Arabidopsis thaliana: one gene and its partner. The protein of the gene in region 1 interacts with the protein of each later gene in a pairwise test. Each region holds a gene or a part of one and is shown on either strand. Other genes may lie near its edges.

Evidence for each region.
Region 2: the proteins of AT1G11330 (region 1) and AT5G19700 interact in a protein complementation assay, tested with the Arabidopsis thaliana proteins (one large-scale study listed by BioGRID).

The regions. Positions count from the first base shown.
Region 1 is NC_003070.9:3,806,376-3,814,957, forward strand, and holds AT1G11330 (S-locus lectin protein kinase family protein), read left to right. Parts: upstream 1-3,419; 5' UTR 3,420-3,996; coding exon 3,997-5,314; intron 5,315-5,408; coding exon 5,409-5,516; intron 5,517-5,603; coding exon 5,604-5,797; intron 5,798-5,883; coding exon 5,884-6,094; intron 6,095-6,192; coding exon 6,193-6,430; intron 6,431-6,500; coding exon 6,501-6,651; coding exon of another isoform or gene 6,652-6,678; exon of another isoform or gene 6,679-6,732; coding exon 6,733-7,041; 3' UTR 7,042-7,434; downstream 7,435-8,582. Other genes in the region: AT1G11320 (GDSL esterase/lipase), read left to right, coding at 866-976, 1,088-1,555, 1,658-2,353; AT1G11340 (G-type lectin S-receptor-like Serine/Threonine-kinase), read right to left, coding at 7,741-8,055, 8,139-8,283, 8,362-8,582.
Region 2 is NC_003076.8:6,659,503-6,665,557, reverse strand, and holds AT5G19700 (MATE efflux family protein), read left to right. Parts: upstream 1-3,094; 5' UTR 3,095-3,210; coding exon 3,211-4,737; 3' UTR 4,738-4,880; downstream 4,881-6,055. Other genes in the region: AT5G19710 (histidine containing phosphotransfer protein), read left to right, coding at 146-237, 316-387, 601-673, 766-813. UniProt on the Arabidopsis thaliana protein: May act as a negative regulator of hypocotyl cell elongation in the light.

The DNA of each region.
Region 1 (8,582 bases):
CTCTTTATAACGGAACGGGCTAACAATAAAAAAACGAAAGGAAAATTTGACGTCATCTTTTCTATTGTCACAAGAAAGACATCATATTTTCTATCGTTTTGTAGCATGTTACGTTTCAGATTGTTTTAGACTTTGTTTCTTAACTTGTCCTAATAGTTTACTCTAATTGTGTGAGTCTTTTACGAGTTTTACACGTACTTATAATATTTTTTAGTCAAGATTTCTATATTATATTTTCAAAGTTATGACCTAAAACTATCATTTTCGCTATATTAAATAAAGAAAATCACATTTCAGCTAACTACCTAAAGGACCTTATGAGGTTTATTCTTTCTTTTTTTAAGAAGACCCGATCAATATAATCAACTTTCTCACGACGACTTTCCAAAATATCATTGAAGTCAACCTTCACTGAAGCAACTAACCATATGCATCGTCCAGTTCAAGATTCTGCAATGCGATTCAATCGTTACCACAACTTAAGATCGAAACCGGACATTAGAACCCCTTTGTTACTTCGTCGTACATTCGTCAACTATATCCTTACCTTTGGTATCCTTCGCCTTTGATACAATGATACCAAAAGAAAAGAAGAAATAATCAGAAATAATCAATTGTTCTGGTTTTAGGTTGACCAAACTCTTTAACCGAAATAATCAGAAATTCGAAAATAACCGAAACGAACCGACGTAAGAAACCGGATCGTCCAATTCCAGATTTTGAAACCAAAATCCAAACACATAAACCCTAAAACATTTTCGCATCTTCTCTATTCAAATCCTCTTATCATCGATAGAAATGATCATCACTGGGTTCGAAATTTTCTAGAATCTTCAAGCTTTCCTTACCAGTTTCTGATTAAAAGATGGACCCAATTGCTTCGGTGTTGGAGAAAGTGAAGAGCTTTACGAAATCGAGCCAGGATTTAGTCTCCCGCCATTTCGGCTTCCATGAGAATCCTTCTCGCCTGAATCCGGTATCGTTATCCATCCCCTTTACTCATTTTGTTCTTAAAATCAACTTTTTGTTTGAAATGTGATGTTGAATTTGAGTTTCTGCATTGTTGGTTTTGGGAATTATGTTGCAGATTGATATCTTGAAGCGATTACAAAGAGAAACATTCTCGGATTTGATGAAACTTAGAGAAAGACAAGAGAAAGTAGAGCGGATCATTTCCTCGCAGAAATTATCGAAAGGAGGTCCCTTTCAAGAGACTAGCACTCATGTGAGAGGTGAAGTTGATGTGCTTGGAGCTATATTGCTGATGGGAAACACTGACGAGGAAAGTTTCAATGGACTCAACAAAGAAGGAGTGAGACCGGGATTGCTTTCAAGGTTTGTGTTTGAAACGAGTCTTAGGGAGACAGATAGGCTTGTGGCTGAGCTTGTTGCTGGATACAATGGGGCAGGAAGTCACAGGGATTTTTTAGGAGGAGAGTTGTCTTTAGCCAAAGTCTTCTACAAGGCAGATATTAATGATTGGTTCTCTGCTATTGCTATTCCTGTTGGCGCGCATTTCAGAGACATTGAGGCTTCTACTGTGTCTTCTTACCAGGTATCCACCAATCGTTGCAGATTTCTGTTTCTATATTTGTTGTGTTTCTCATAAATAATCGTTATTGATAAAACTACAAATACAACTACCTTCGTCTTGCAGGGAATGAGTCTCACAGAAGTTTCTGAACTTGGACCACCTCTTTTAAGCCAACATAATGGGAGCGCCATAGGGTTAACATTCAGAAAGTCAAATATCACAGCTTCACTGGCTCAGTCTATGTCAAACGTTGAAGTTGAACAGGGTTTGACTGCACCGAATCGTTGTTTCAGAACATTTGGGCAAGTAACCTGCCACATTCTCAGAAGTTTAAAGCTATCTCTATTGGGCTGTCACCAAGTTTTAACATCATCTAGCAATCTCCATTCTGTTGGAGCCATTACAGTTCCAGTAAGTTTCCTAAGGCGCCATACTGCTACGGAGCCTGAACCATCAGCACCGCCTCTGGAGATGAGTAGAAACATGAATCATGTGTCGTCCAGTTCCATTGCTTTGAAGTTAGACTCTCTAATGGACGAGTCTACAAAACTTGGGGGATGGATTGAAATTCAGAACTCAAGAGAAAAGCAAGTGAAATGGTCAGTGTCTATTACAGACAACCCAGAGGATGAAGTGGGCTGGGGCATGAGCGTTGGGGGAGTTGTTGATGGTTCAAGAAATCATGATCAGTTTCAGGTGGAATCATATCTGAAATTCAACATAGGCGATAGGTTTAGATTAAGTCCATGTCTTGTTTATCACACAAACAGTGACGGAAGAACCATAGGTCTTATGCTAAAGTCTCACTGGTCGCTGTGATCTCAAGTTTACTCATTACTTGTACATTGATGGTTCGAATTACCACTGACTGCAGTTTTGAGATTTTTGTGTCTAATGCAATTTATTTGTCTGAAAATATTTAATGTAGCTGCCATTTTTGTGCCTTGAAGATAAAAGTTTATTGTCTATCATCGCTTAGAAAAATCTTTGTTGTCTTGTTAGTAATTGTTTCCATCTGTGTTGGAATAGTACACTAATTTGCTTTTTTTTTTATTGTAATGGTAACAAATGTCGTAATGCTTATTTATGCTTAGGGAGAAGTAGAATAACTGAAGATTGATCTATGATTAGTATGTCTTGATTGCAACGTAACATAGGTTGTGGCATTTTAAAGATTATTTGAAAGAATTCTTCTTAAACAAGATGTGACTGTACAACAGTTTGATTGATGTTGTCATGTTGAGAGCTACGTTGTGACCCTCTGTCTCATGAACATACAAATTCTCTAGACTTTTCATCTGTCGAAGTCAATGACCTTTTTCTCAGGTCTCATTTGATACAACAAAGTCCTATGCAGAACGCAATGGCAATATGAAAAAAAAAAAAAGAGAGGTAATTTTGTTCTCCATTTCCCTTTTATTTTTGCTCAAAGATTTGGCGTTTTGAGTCAATTAGACTTTCTAATAATACTAGTTTCGGCTTCTGTCGTTTTAGATGTCATTACTCATCAGTCATCATTGTGATTTGTGAATTGTGTGGCTTTCATTGGTAAGTAAAAAACTTAGAACGTCCATACAAAAAAATAACATGTTACCAATATAAAACAAATTAGGCTTCACATAACAATTGTATCAAGGGCAATATCCCCACCTAATTTCTCTATTCAATTTTTTGTCACCATCTAATAATTCTTTAAAAATTGCAAATTTTGGCCTCGTGGCACATTGTCTCGTATTTGCATGCAAAGTCAAAAGTATGTGTTGTTCGATAGAGACCACATCCTTTTTTAATACAAGATAAATTTGTTTGGTAAAAACCTTTCTCATAGTTTAAAAAAAAACTTTCTATTCCGTTTCAACTGAACAGAAATCGAATCTTTTGTACACTTCGTTTAGGCATTTCATGTGATACATTGTGTGCTTGCCTCAACAAATTCCAAATTAGCTACCCACAAAAAGATTTGCGACCTAATCCAATCTAGAACGGCATGACATAAACAAATTCAACTCAAATTCCTCAAACTTTAACGACGGCAAAACACCAAGTGGGCTGTGAAACACGCGTTCGTTTGTATCACCAAGAATGAGAACAGAAAAAAGTAATATTTGTTTTCAAATGCTATAATCTGCAAATAAAACAAGTGTACTCGAAATGTATAAACAATGACCCCATTGAAATCGCACTAAGGCAAGTAGTCCTCTCGCTTTCAATCGTTTCCTCTGCATTTAAAGAAAAGTCAAGATTGGTGGTTTATTCCACTCTCACTGCTAATTGGTGGGCTATTCAATGAATCCACCTAATAACATTATTACTCACACCAAAAACAAATCTTCGTTGAAACATAAAACTTTTACATCATTTTCTAAGTCAAGTCTTCTCATAGAGACAGAAAAAGACTACTAATTTACCTCTCGTGTAGGAAAACAAAGCAAAACTGGAGTCATTCTCTGTTTCAAAGAGTTATGGTGGTTTCAGTGACCATACGTCGTCGTTTTGTTCTTCTTCTACTTGCATGCACTTGTTTGTTGTCTCGGAGACTCTGTTTTGGTGAGGACAGAATCACTTTCTCAAGTCCTATCAAAGACTCAGAGTCAGAGACCCTTCTATGCAAAAGTGGTATTTTCAGGTTTGGTTTCTTCACTCCTGTTAATTCCACTACTCGGTTACGTTATGTTGGGATTTGGTACGAAAAGATTCCAATCCAAACTGTGGTTTGGGTTGCTAACAAAGACTCTCCCATCAACGACACTTCCGGTGTTATCTCGATCTATCAAGATGGAAATCTCGCGGTTACCGATGGTCGAAATCGCCTTGTATGGTCGACGAATGTCTCAGTACCAGTAGCTCCAAATGCTACTTGGGTTCAGCTTATGGATTCTGGGAATCTTATGTTACAAGACAACAGAAACAATGGTGAGATTCTTTGGGAGAGTTTCAAGCATCCTTATGATTCTTTCATGCCAAGAATGACTCTTGGCACCGACGGTAGAACTGGAGGTAACCTAAAGCTTACTTCTTGGACAAGCCACGATGATCCTTCAACAGGAAACTACACAGCTGGTATTGCTCCTTTCACGTTTCCTGAGCTTCTTATCTGGAAGAACAATGTCCCAACGTGGCGTAGCGGACCGTGGAACGGTCAGGTTTTCATCGGTTTACCGAATATGGATTCACTTCTGTTTCTTGATGGGTTTAATCTTAACAGTGATAATCAAGGAACGATCTCAATGTCTTATGCTAATGATTCGTTCATGTATCACTTTAACTTGGATCCTGAAGGAATTATTTATCAGAAAGATTGGAGTACTTCTATGAGAACTTGGAGGATAGGTGTAAAGTTTCCATACACAGACTGTGATGCATACGGTAGATGTGGTCGATTCGGGAGCTGCCATGCCGGGGAAAACCCGCCTTGTAAATGTGTTAAAGGGTTTGTTCCAAAGAATAACACAGAGTGGAATGGTGGTAATTGGAGTAATGGATGTATGAGAAAAGCTCCATTGCAGTGTGAAAGACAGAGAAATGTAAGTAATGGTGGTGGTGGAGGAAAAGCAGATGGTTTTTTGAAACTGCAGAAGATGAAAGTACCAATCTCTGCGGAACGGTCTGAAGCTAGTGAACAAGTTTGTCCTAAAGTATGCTTAGATAACTGTTCTTGCACAGCTTATGCATATGATAGAGGAATTGGATGCATGCTTTGGAGTGGTGATTTAGTTGATATGCAATCATTTTTGGGAAGTGGCATTGATCTTTTTATTCGTGTTGCTCATTCAGAACTCAGTGAGTGAAATATATCTAGTAGTTCTCACTTTGTTTCCTTCTCCATTTTTGTTTTCTTCACTGACTTAAGTTTTTACTTACCAACTTTTTGTAGAAACACATAGCAATCTAGCAGTTATGATCGCAGCACCTGTGATAGGCGTTATGTTAATTGCTGCGGTCTGCGTTCTTTTAGCATGCCGGAAATACAAAAAGCGTCCAGGTTAGAGTTTTGTTTATTCATGAATGTTAGATTCTGATTGTTTCTTTTATCATAATTGTTTTGCTTCATTGATCATTACCTTAGCAGCTCCAGCGAAAGATAGAAGTGCAGAGCTAATGTTTAAGAGAATGGAAGCACTTACAAGTGATAATGAGTCTGCTTCTAACCAAATCAAGCTCAAGGAGCTTCCACTCTTTGAGTTTCAAGTGTTAGCTACATCAACTGATAGCTTCTCTCTAAGAAACAAGCTCGGGCAAGGCGGGTTTGGTCCTGTTTACAAGGTAAAATCATAACAAAAGAAGTTTTCTGGAGGGAGATATGTGTACAAATTATCTCAGACTAAGTGATTGGTAATCTTTTTTTTTAGGGAAAATTACCTGAAGGACAAGAAATTGCAGTGAAGAGGCTCTCACGGAAATCAGGTCAAGGACTAGAGGAACTTATGAACGAAGTGGTTGTGATATCTAAGTTGCAACATCGGAATCTAGTGAAGTTACTTGGATGTTGTATTGAAGGTGAAGAAAGAATGTTAGTATATGAATATATGCCAAAGAAAAGCTTGGATGCATATCTTTTTGGTAAACTTATCACCTCTAACTCTCTTTTTAACTCTGTTTATACCGTTTGGCTCGGGATGATTATTGAGAAGGCTAATGTTTTTGCTAACTTTTCTCAGACCCAATGAAGCAAAAGATTCTTGATTGGAAGACTCGGTTCAACATAATGGAAGGAATTTGCAGAGGTCTTTTGTACCTTCACAGAGATTCAAGACTAAAGATCATACACAGAGATTTAAAAGCCAGCAACATTTTGTTAGATGAGAATCTAAACCCCAAGATATCTGATTTTGGACTTGCAAGAATTTTCCGAGCGAATGAAGATGAAGCTAACACAAGAAGGGTTGTTGGAACATAGTAAGTATCCATTCCAAAATACACAACAAACATTACGAAATTCGGTTTTATTCAAATATTGTTATTGCAGCGGCTATATGTCACCGGAGTATGCAATGGAAGGTTTCTTTTCAGAAAAATCAGATGTTTTCAGCTTGGGGGTTATATTTCTCGAGATCATAAGTGGGAGAAGAAACTCTAGTTCTCACAAGGAAGAGAATAATCTCAACCTTTTGGCTTATGTAAGTGTTACAAAGCAGTGTTTTTAGTAACTTATGGTTAATCAAGATTCGAAACTTACCTTAAAGACTTGGTTTTTACAGGCTTGGAAGCTGTGGAACGACGGTGAGGCTGCTTCTCTAGCAGATCCAGCCGTCTTTGATAAGTGTTTCGAGAAAGAGATAGAGAAATGTGTTCATATTGGACTGTTATGTGTGCAAGAAGTTGCAAACGATAGACCAAATGTTTCAAACGTGATATGGATGCTAACTACCGAGAACATGAGCCTCGCCGATCCGAAGCAGCCAGCGTTTATAGTAAGAAGAGGAGCTTCTGAGGCTGAATCTTCTGACCAGAGTAGTCAAAAGGTATCTATCAATGATGTGAGCCTCACAGCTGTAACAGGACGTTAACCTCACCACCACGCCAATCTCAGTCTGTTTATATACATAATAGTATGTAATATACACGTTTTGAGAAACTCCTATGTTTACAAATTTTGTTATCTGCGTCTGTGCAATGGTTAGATTACTGAAATAAGAACAGAGAAGTTATTTTCAGGTTTATGAACTTTGTTGAAACTTGACCTATTCTTACATATAATCAGATTTTTGGAATTAACTAACCTGGATGAAGAAACTGAACCTGAAGAAAACAGGACAAGAACAAAAATCCGTTGTTCTTGAGAAAAAGCCACAGCACATAGGTTTTGTCTTGAGAAGAAAGAATTAAAACACAATTATTGGTTTTGTGTATTGGTTGCTTTGCTATAAGTATATGTATATTGGAACAAACTTGGATAGGGGATAAGAAAATAACATCAGTTTTGACTTTTTCGAAGATACATTAACTACATAACAACCTTGAATTTTCTGCACAAAATTATTTTATAGCAGCGAAGAAATTTCCTTTTTGTGTTTTGTTTTTAGCAATGGTTTTATTATTAGTCATTTTCTTTCTTTTGTTATCAGTACTTCAATAAATAAGTTTTGTCAAAAAACCAGTCTCATTACACAAACTTACAGAGTTAATAAGATTCCTGATTCCTGTAACTGATCCTCTAGTCTTCTTCTCTTCTTATACGAAAAAAAGTAAAACATTTGGAAGTTGTTTTAACGACCTTGAATGTCGCTGAAGGTAACGTCATTAACAGAAATACCGGTTTGTCCCTTAAGACAAGCACCATTTTCACCGCCTCTCCTTCTCGCGGAAGTAAACGCAGGATGCTTTGGATTCGGAAGATTAGTGGCGTTATGACCCAACATGATGACAACAGAGGACATGTCTACTCTGTCCGAAGCGTTTTCTTGCACACAGAGCAACCCAATTTGTATGCACTTCATCACTTCTCTCTCATCATAAGTCTCTTGGTCCATTAAATTGTCTATGATCTCTGTTGCTTCACCGTTTTCCCATAGATCCCAAATCTACAAGACGGAGAAACATACATTTACTTATGTTCTGTTTTTTTTCCTCTGTTTTTGTGTAAAATTTTCAGTTATGTACTTACATGTCCGACTAAGTTAGATGATTCCTCGTGGAAAGCACTGTTTTTCTTTCCGGTTATGATCTCTAACATCAATACTCCAAAGCTATAGACGTCGGATTTAATGGAGAACTGTCCCTCCATTGCATACTCCGGTGCCATATATCCGCTGTGCAACAAGATTGAAACAGTTTAAGGTTGTAAGATTTTGGACAGTTTTGTGGTGTTTCAGAAAAGAGTAACTCACAATGTTCCGACGACCCTACTTGTGCATCCTTCCATTTGGTTGCCCCCAAAGATTCTAGCCATGCCGAAATCTGAAATCTTTGGGATCATTTCACTGTCAAGAAGTATATTGCTGGCCTTGAGATCTCTGTGGATGATTCTCAGTCTTGAATCTTGATGAAGATATAAGATTCCACGAGCAATCCCTCGGACTATCTCCATTCTTTTTGGCCAATCCAACTC
Region 2 (6,055 bases), on another chromosome or scaffold:
TTGTTTGCATAGGGGCATATAAAATGTTGGGCCGCACCTATAAATATGAATACAAGAATTATATTTGAATATAATGATTTAATTTAAACTTGGCTAATGCCTAATGGTTGGTATCTAAAGTTTTAAGTTGATTTAATTTTGACAGGGAGCGAGAGCCAATAGAGGTACCCATGATTACCCGATGCATTCTTCGGCTAGAAAGCAGCAGCGCCAGGCTAGTTATAATATTTTTGTAATGTGTTTTGAAATATAGAGATAAGAATTGTAACATTAATAAATATAAATTGCTGATTTTTTTTTTTTTTTTTAATACAGCATCGGTGCTATCAAAGTTGTTAAGGAACTTAAGAAGGCAAACACATTTCTCAAAGCTGGCAACATAGAAGGGTAAGTACAGCCTTTTCATTTTATTTTATTTTTCATTTCCTTTGCATAATTTTAGTTCTAAATAGAATACATAAGTTTGTCATTTATGCATCTAAACTAAGATATGTATGAGAATGTTCTTTAACAAGATATATATATATATATATATATATATATATATATATATATATATTGATGCAAATGGTTGTTTTTGCATACATGTATACTTTAAAGAGTAAAAGGAGCACTGCCTGATATTAAGAAAGAGCACAGTGAACTCCGGGCAAAGTTTGAGACTTATTTCCAGGTTTATAAAATTCTTAATTAAAGTATTGTTAATAACGTATGGTTATGTGCTCGAATGGAATCTGATTCTAGCTTCTTCAATGTGTTTGTCAGTTGATGAGACAAGCTGGTCCAACAGATGTAGCTGTGAATTCAAGCTGAGAATGTGTAAACCAGGATAGTTTGGTTCGTACGACAAATATTCTACCTGCCCAAACCCAAGTTACTACCATTGATCGTTATCAGTTGATCATGATCGTATTAATTTTTGAATGTTTTATTTGTTAACTTATGTTATGATGTCGAGTTTATTTTTATTAGATTAATATATATTTCGTCTAAAAGATAAATATATTGCTGCAAATTAACCTCTTTTTTTTTGTCAATAATAATTTAGAAAATTGAACTAAACAAAATGTCTTATAATTACATAAACCCAAAATAGAAAAAATAGAAAAAGAAAAAGAAGCCATGTCGTGATGTGAATACACACACATTTCTCTCTGGACCTAAAAATCTCTCCCTTCTCTCTAAAAACAAAAGGAACCGCCACCTAGATTTTTTATATTCATAGTGGCTTCCATAGCACTAGAGCCGGTAAAATTCTTTCTCTTTCTTTGTTTTTCTCTTTTTTCGGCACATCCATGATTTTTCTTCCAACGGAATCAATTCTAGTTTTCTAGATCTAAATATTTAAAGCTTAAATCTCCTCCTCCTTTGGTTTTTGATGTTTTGCTTTTTTGTCTCCGCCATTCTCAGCATCATATCTGGTTGTATCTTTCTTGGTAGGTAGAAGCAGTCTTCAATCGGTTCTTCTCTGCCTCAGATTAAGAAATTTCGCCATCGTAAATCTAGATCTTCTTCCTTTCTTCAAGAGACGTTCTTTGAGTCTCTATTTTTTTGGATGCGTTTCACCGCCTCTGTGACTTCTCGAGAGTATTATAAAGAGGGTCACACGACACTTTCATTTGGTTTTAACTTGTTATAAAGAAGATTCTTGTATTATAATCTGTTTGTGTGTTTTTCTAAGTCTCAGTTTTGTTTTAATTTGCAAGGTTTAGGTTTTGTTAATCTTTTTTTTGAATTTCCAGATTCTGATCCAGAAAGTATTAATGGATGTTGTGTAGTTTATTTGCTCGGGTTTTTTTCCCTTTGTTTACTTTGTTTGATCATTGTTTCTGGTGTTCTTGTACTCGCCGACTAATGTTTCCGGAAGTGTTCATGTACTTGCCGGCTCTTTGTAATTCACTTTAAACCTTATCAATAGAATCTTTTTGATGAAAAAGAAGAAGAAGCCATGGAGCTATTCAAACTCATCTAACCGATTGGATAAAACAGCTCATTCATAGGAGACTACGCCACCAAAACTATTTTTTTAATATGTTTCATATCCCTAACAATACATTCTTCTTGAAAAAATATTCTACATAGCTCACAATACAAAAAACTTGGTTTAGTGACATTTGACATTTACACATATGAATGGTTGCAATATGGTCATAGCACGTAAAAAATGATCATATATTGTTCAAAAATATAGATCTTAATGCATATCGATCATGTCCCTCTGGTCCAATTGGTTTTATGATTTTTTTTCCATATCAATCAATCAAAAAGGAGGATCAATTGATCTGGCCCTCTATAACTAAATTTGTTTTAACTAGAAAAACTGGACCGCTCATTCTCCTCCTCTCAAGTTCTGGTTAGCGTTTTTTGAATCATTTTCAATCACAAAGTTATTTTTAAGAAAAAATCTAGGAAATGCACAACTTTGATTAAAAAACAAAAAAAAATTATAAGATTACATCTAACTTAATAAGCAATACTTAAGAAAAAAACAAAAGTACATACCGATAAAAACACGACACGTCAAATTTTATATCTAGACATTATAATATACATATGAATTTTAGTAAAAGGTAAAACAAAATGTAAATGTTGAAAATAGTAAATTTAATTTAAAATTTTTGAAAAAAAATATTAATAAAATACATATCTAATATAGTAATTTATAAAATATCACGTGGCGTTCGGCAATATATGGCACAAAATTTTCAAGGATAAGATTTTCTAATTTCCAAACTTTTATAATAAATCTGATAAACTTGAATTAATGTTACCAGAATCCCATTTAATAAAATCAGAACTAAAATTAGGCATTTTCATAAAAGTATTGTGAAAACATACAAATTAAAGATGTTCTTATAGAAAAAAGGGATTTTTTCACTATTAAAATTAAAAAGATAATAATCTAAAACAACCTTGTAGACCCAAAAAAAAAAGATTACAAAAATGCCTAACTTCTTTAACATTTTAAGAAGTCTTATCTTCACAGCACCTTCTAAAAGAAAAGTGTTCTTTCTGTAATTAACCTTTTTTAAACATTAAAACATAAAGTCTATCCTTTTAATAAATATTTGACTTTTATCATTTGACTCCTTCGCTAAGTCCGACGTGACGGACATATAGGTAATTTGTGTATATAAACCAGAAGTGTTCTGCTGGTAATCATATCTTGTAACCATAATCGTCTTGTGTCTTTTATTTCACAGAGACAAAATGGAAACCCCAAACATCATCAGCCACACAAATCTTCTATCGAAGATAGACCTGGAAAAACAAAACCCTGCCCCCATTTTCCCGACAATCACTGAGCTTAAAAGTGAGGCTAGGTCTCTCTTCTCCTTAGCCTTCCCGACAATCCTCGCGGCCCTCATCCTCTACGCTCGCTCCGCCATCTCGATGCTCTTCCTCGGGCATATCGGTGAACTAGAGCTAGCTGGTGGCTCCCTGGCCATTGCCTTCGCTAACATCACTGGCTACTCCGTTCTAGCAGGTCTTGCACTCGGCATGGACCCACTCTGTTCGCAAGCCTTTGGAGCCGGCAGACCAAAACTCCTCTCTTTAACGCTTCAACGAACCGTACTTTTCTTACTCACAAGTTCGGTAGTAATCGTCGCTCTATGGCTCAACCTGGGGAAGATCATGATTTATCTTCATCAAGATCCAAGTATCTCATCGTTGGCCCAAACATATATCCTCTGCTCTATTCCTGATCTGCTCACCAATTCCTTTCTTCACCCTCTTCGTATATACCTTCGAGCACAAGGTATCACAAGCCCTTTAACTCTCGCAACACTCGCTGGCACCATCTTCCACATACCCATGAACTTTTTCCTCGTTTCTTACCTCGGATGGGGTTTCATGGGCGTTTCAATGGCCGCAGCCGCTTCAAATCTTCTTGTTGTCATTTTCCTTGTGGCCCATGTTTGGATCGCAGGTCTACACCAGCCAACGTGGACCCGCCCCAGCTCGGAATGTTTCAAAGATTGGGGACCAGTCGTAACCCTAGCCATACCTAGCTGCATCGGGGTATGCCTAGAGTGGTGGTGGTACGAGATAATGACCGTTCTATGTGGTTTACTCATAGACCCTAGTACTCCAGTGGCATCAATGGGCATTCTTATCCAAACGACGTCTTTGCTTTACATTTTCCCATCGTCTCTAGGGTTAGCAGTCTCCACCCGAGTTGGTAACGAACTTGGCTCAAACCGCCCAAACAAGGCTAGGTTATCAGCCATAGTGGCGGTTTCCTTTGCTGGGGTAATGGGTCTGACGGCGTCTGCGTTTGCTTGGGGCGTAAGCGATGTCTGGGGATGGATCTTCACAAACGACGTTGCTATCATCAAATTAACCGCAGCCGCGTTGCCGATTCTCGGGCTTTGCGAGCTCGGGAACTGCCCGCAAACAGTAGGTTGCGGGGTTGTTAGAGGCACTGCACGGCCGTCCATGGCAGCGAACATAAACCTAGGAGCGTTTTACCTCGTTGGAACGCCTGTAGCCGTTGGGCTAACGTTTTGGGCCGCATATGGATTTTGCGGACTTTGGGTAGGTCTTTTAGCTGCTCAGATATGTTGTGCTGCCATGATGCTATATGTCGTGGCTACTACGGACTGGGAGAAAGAAGCAATTAGAGCCAGAAAGCTAACGTGTACTGAAGGCGTTGATGTGGTAATAACAACAACGCAAACCAACGGAGACTTATCGGAACCATTAATTTACGTTGTCACTGTCGCTACTGACTGACATCGATCGGTGTTTTGAGTTGTTTTATTTTATTTTACTTAATATTTGTGGATGAATCGATCAGTTTTTTTTGGGAGGGCATTGGGAGACATTTGTATTTTTAAACGAGAAAGTTACCAAAAAGAATCTGATTCATAATTTTGATCCAAAGTAATTGTGTCCTAAGTATTTGTACTTCATGCTATTTTAGAGAATTTTCTTTTTCTATATAATCGGCTTTGATTGCTCCAGAATTCGAATTCAAGTTGTTGTGCAACATTTTCTGATGTGTTCAATTGTGTTTTCGTTGTATAAGTAGTAGATCATGACTAAACATGTGTTCACGTTATATAATGATTATGTATGTTATTCAGTTTAATTGTATATATTTTTTCATGTATAAAAAGTTATGTTTTTTAAAAATATATTTCTTTTACTTTGATTTATTAAATATAAGATCAACCTATATTTGTTGTCAAAAAAAAGCATTAGGAGGATTTGAATTCGATTACAGCCGCAAAATGTTACAGCTATTTGTGCTGGTTAGTTCTCCAGTCAGACTCTTGGTGGTATTACTGCAACTCATTAATTTTTCTATTTAAAAAAATATATGGTGAAAGAAGTTCTTTAAATTCCAGTTTTCAACACGTATGCACAAAATTTTGCTTCTCAAAATTAAATATACAGGGGGAGGGGACATCTATACTGTTTGGTTACCTAGGTTTAACATCAAATACAAGTAAAAAAAAACGAAAAACGAGACTTAAGTATGCATGGTTAATGTAGCTATACATCGACGTCCATGAGATGTACTTTAGTGATTTGTATTAGTATTTAGATGTGTCACTACTTAAAATTTAATTTCGCATATTACATGTTGATGTTGTTAACGAAAATATATATACAAAAATAAGTTTTGTAGATCTACATATATGGGTATTCTTATATAATAAAACTCTGATCAATTTGACGGGAAAAAAAAAAAACTCTGATCACTTCCTGAATTTAAAATGTTCGTGTCATCGATAACTACATAATATTTTTTGTTATCAATGACGAGTCATTGTAATTATATATATTGGCAAAGGTTCTTGGAGTCATGTTTACTTGTTACATGTAATAGAAATTGTCTGAATAAACCTGTCCCTTTTCTTAAGAGTGTTAAACCTCTTTTCACTTGATTTGGTCATTGTCCCCAAACATTCCAACACATGTTTTGGGCCAATCCATGATGTTGCCTAAAGATCACCGTTGACTTTTCTTTTTTTACATCAGTATGACTTTTTTAGTTGTTACGTTGTATATATTTGACTTTTTATAAATTTTAATATTATATTAG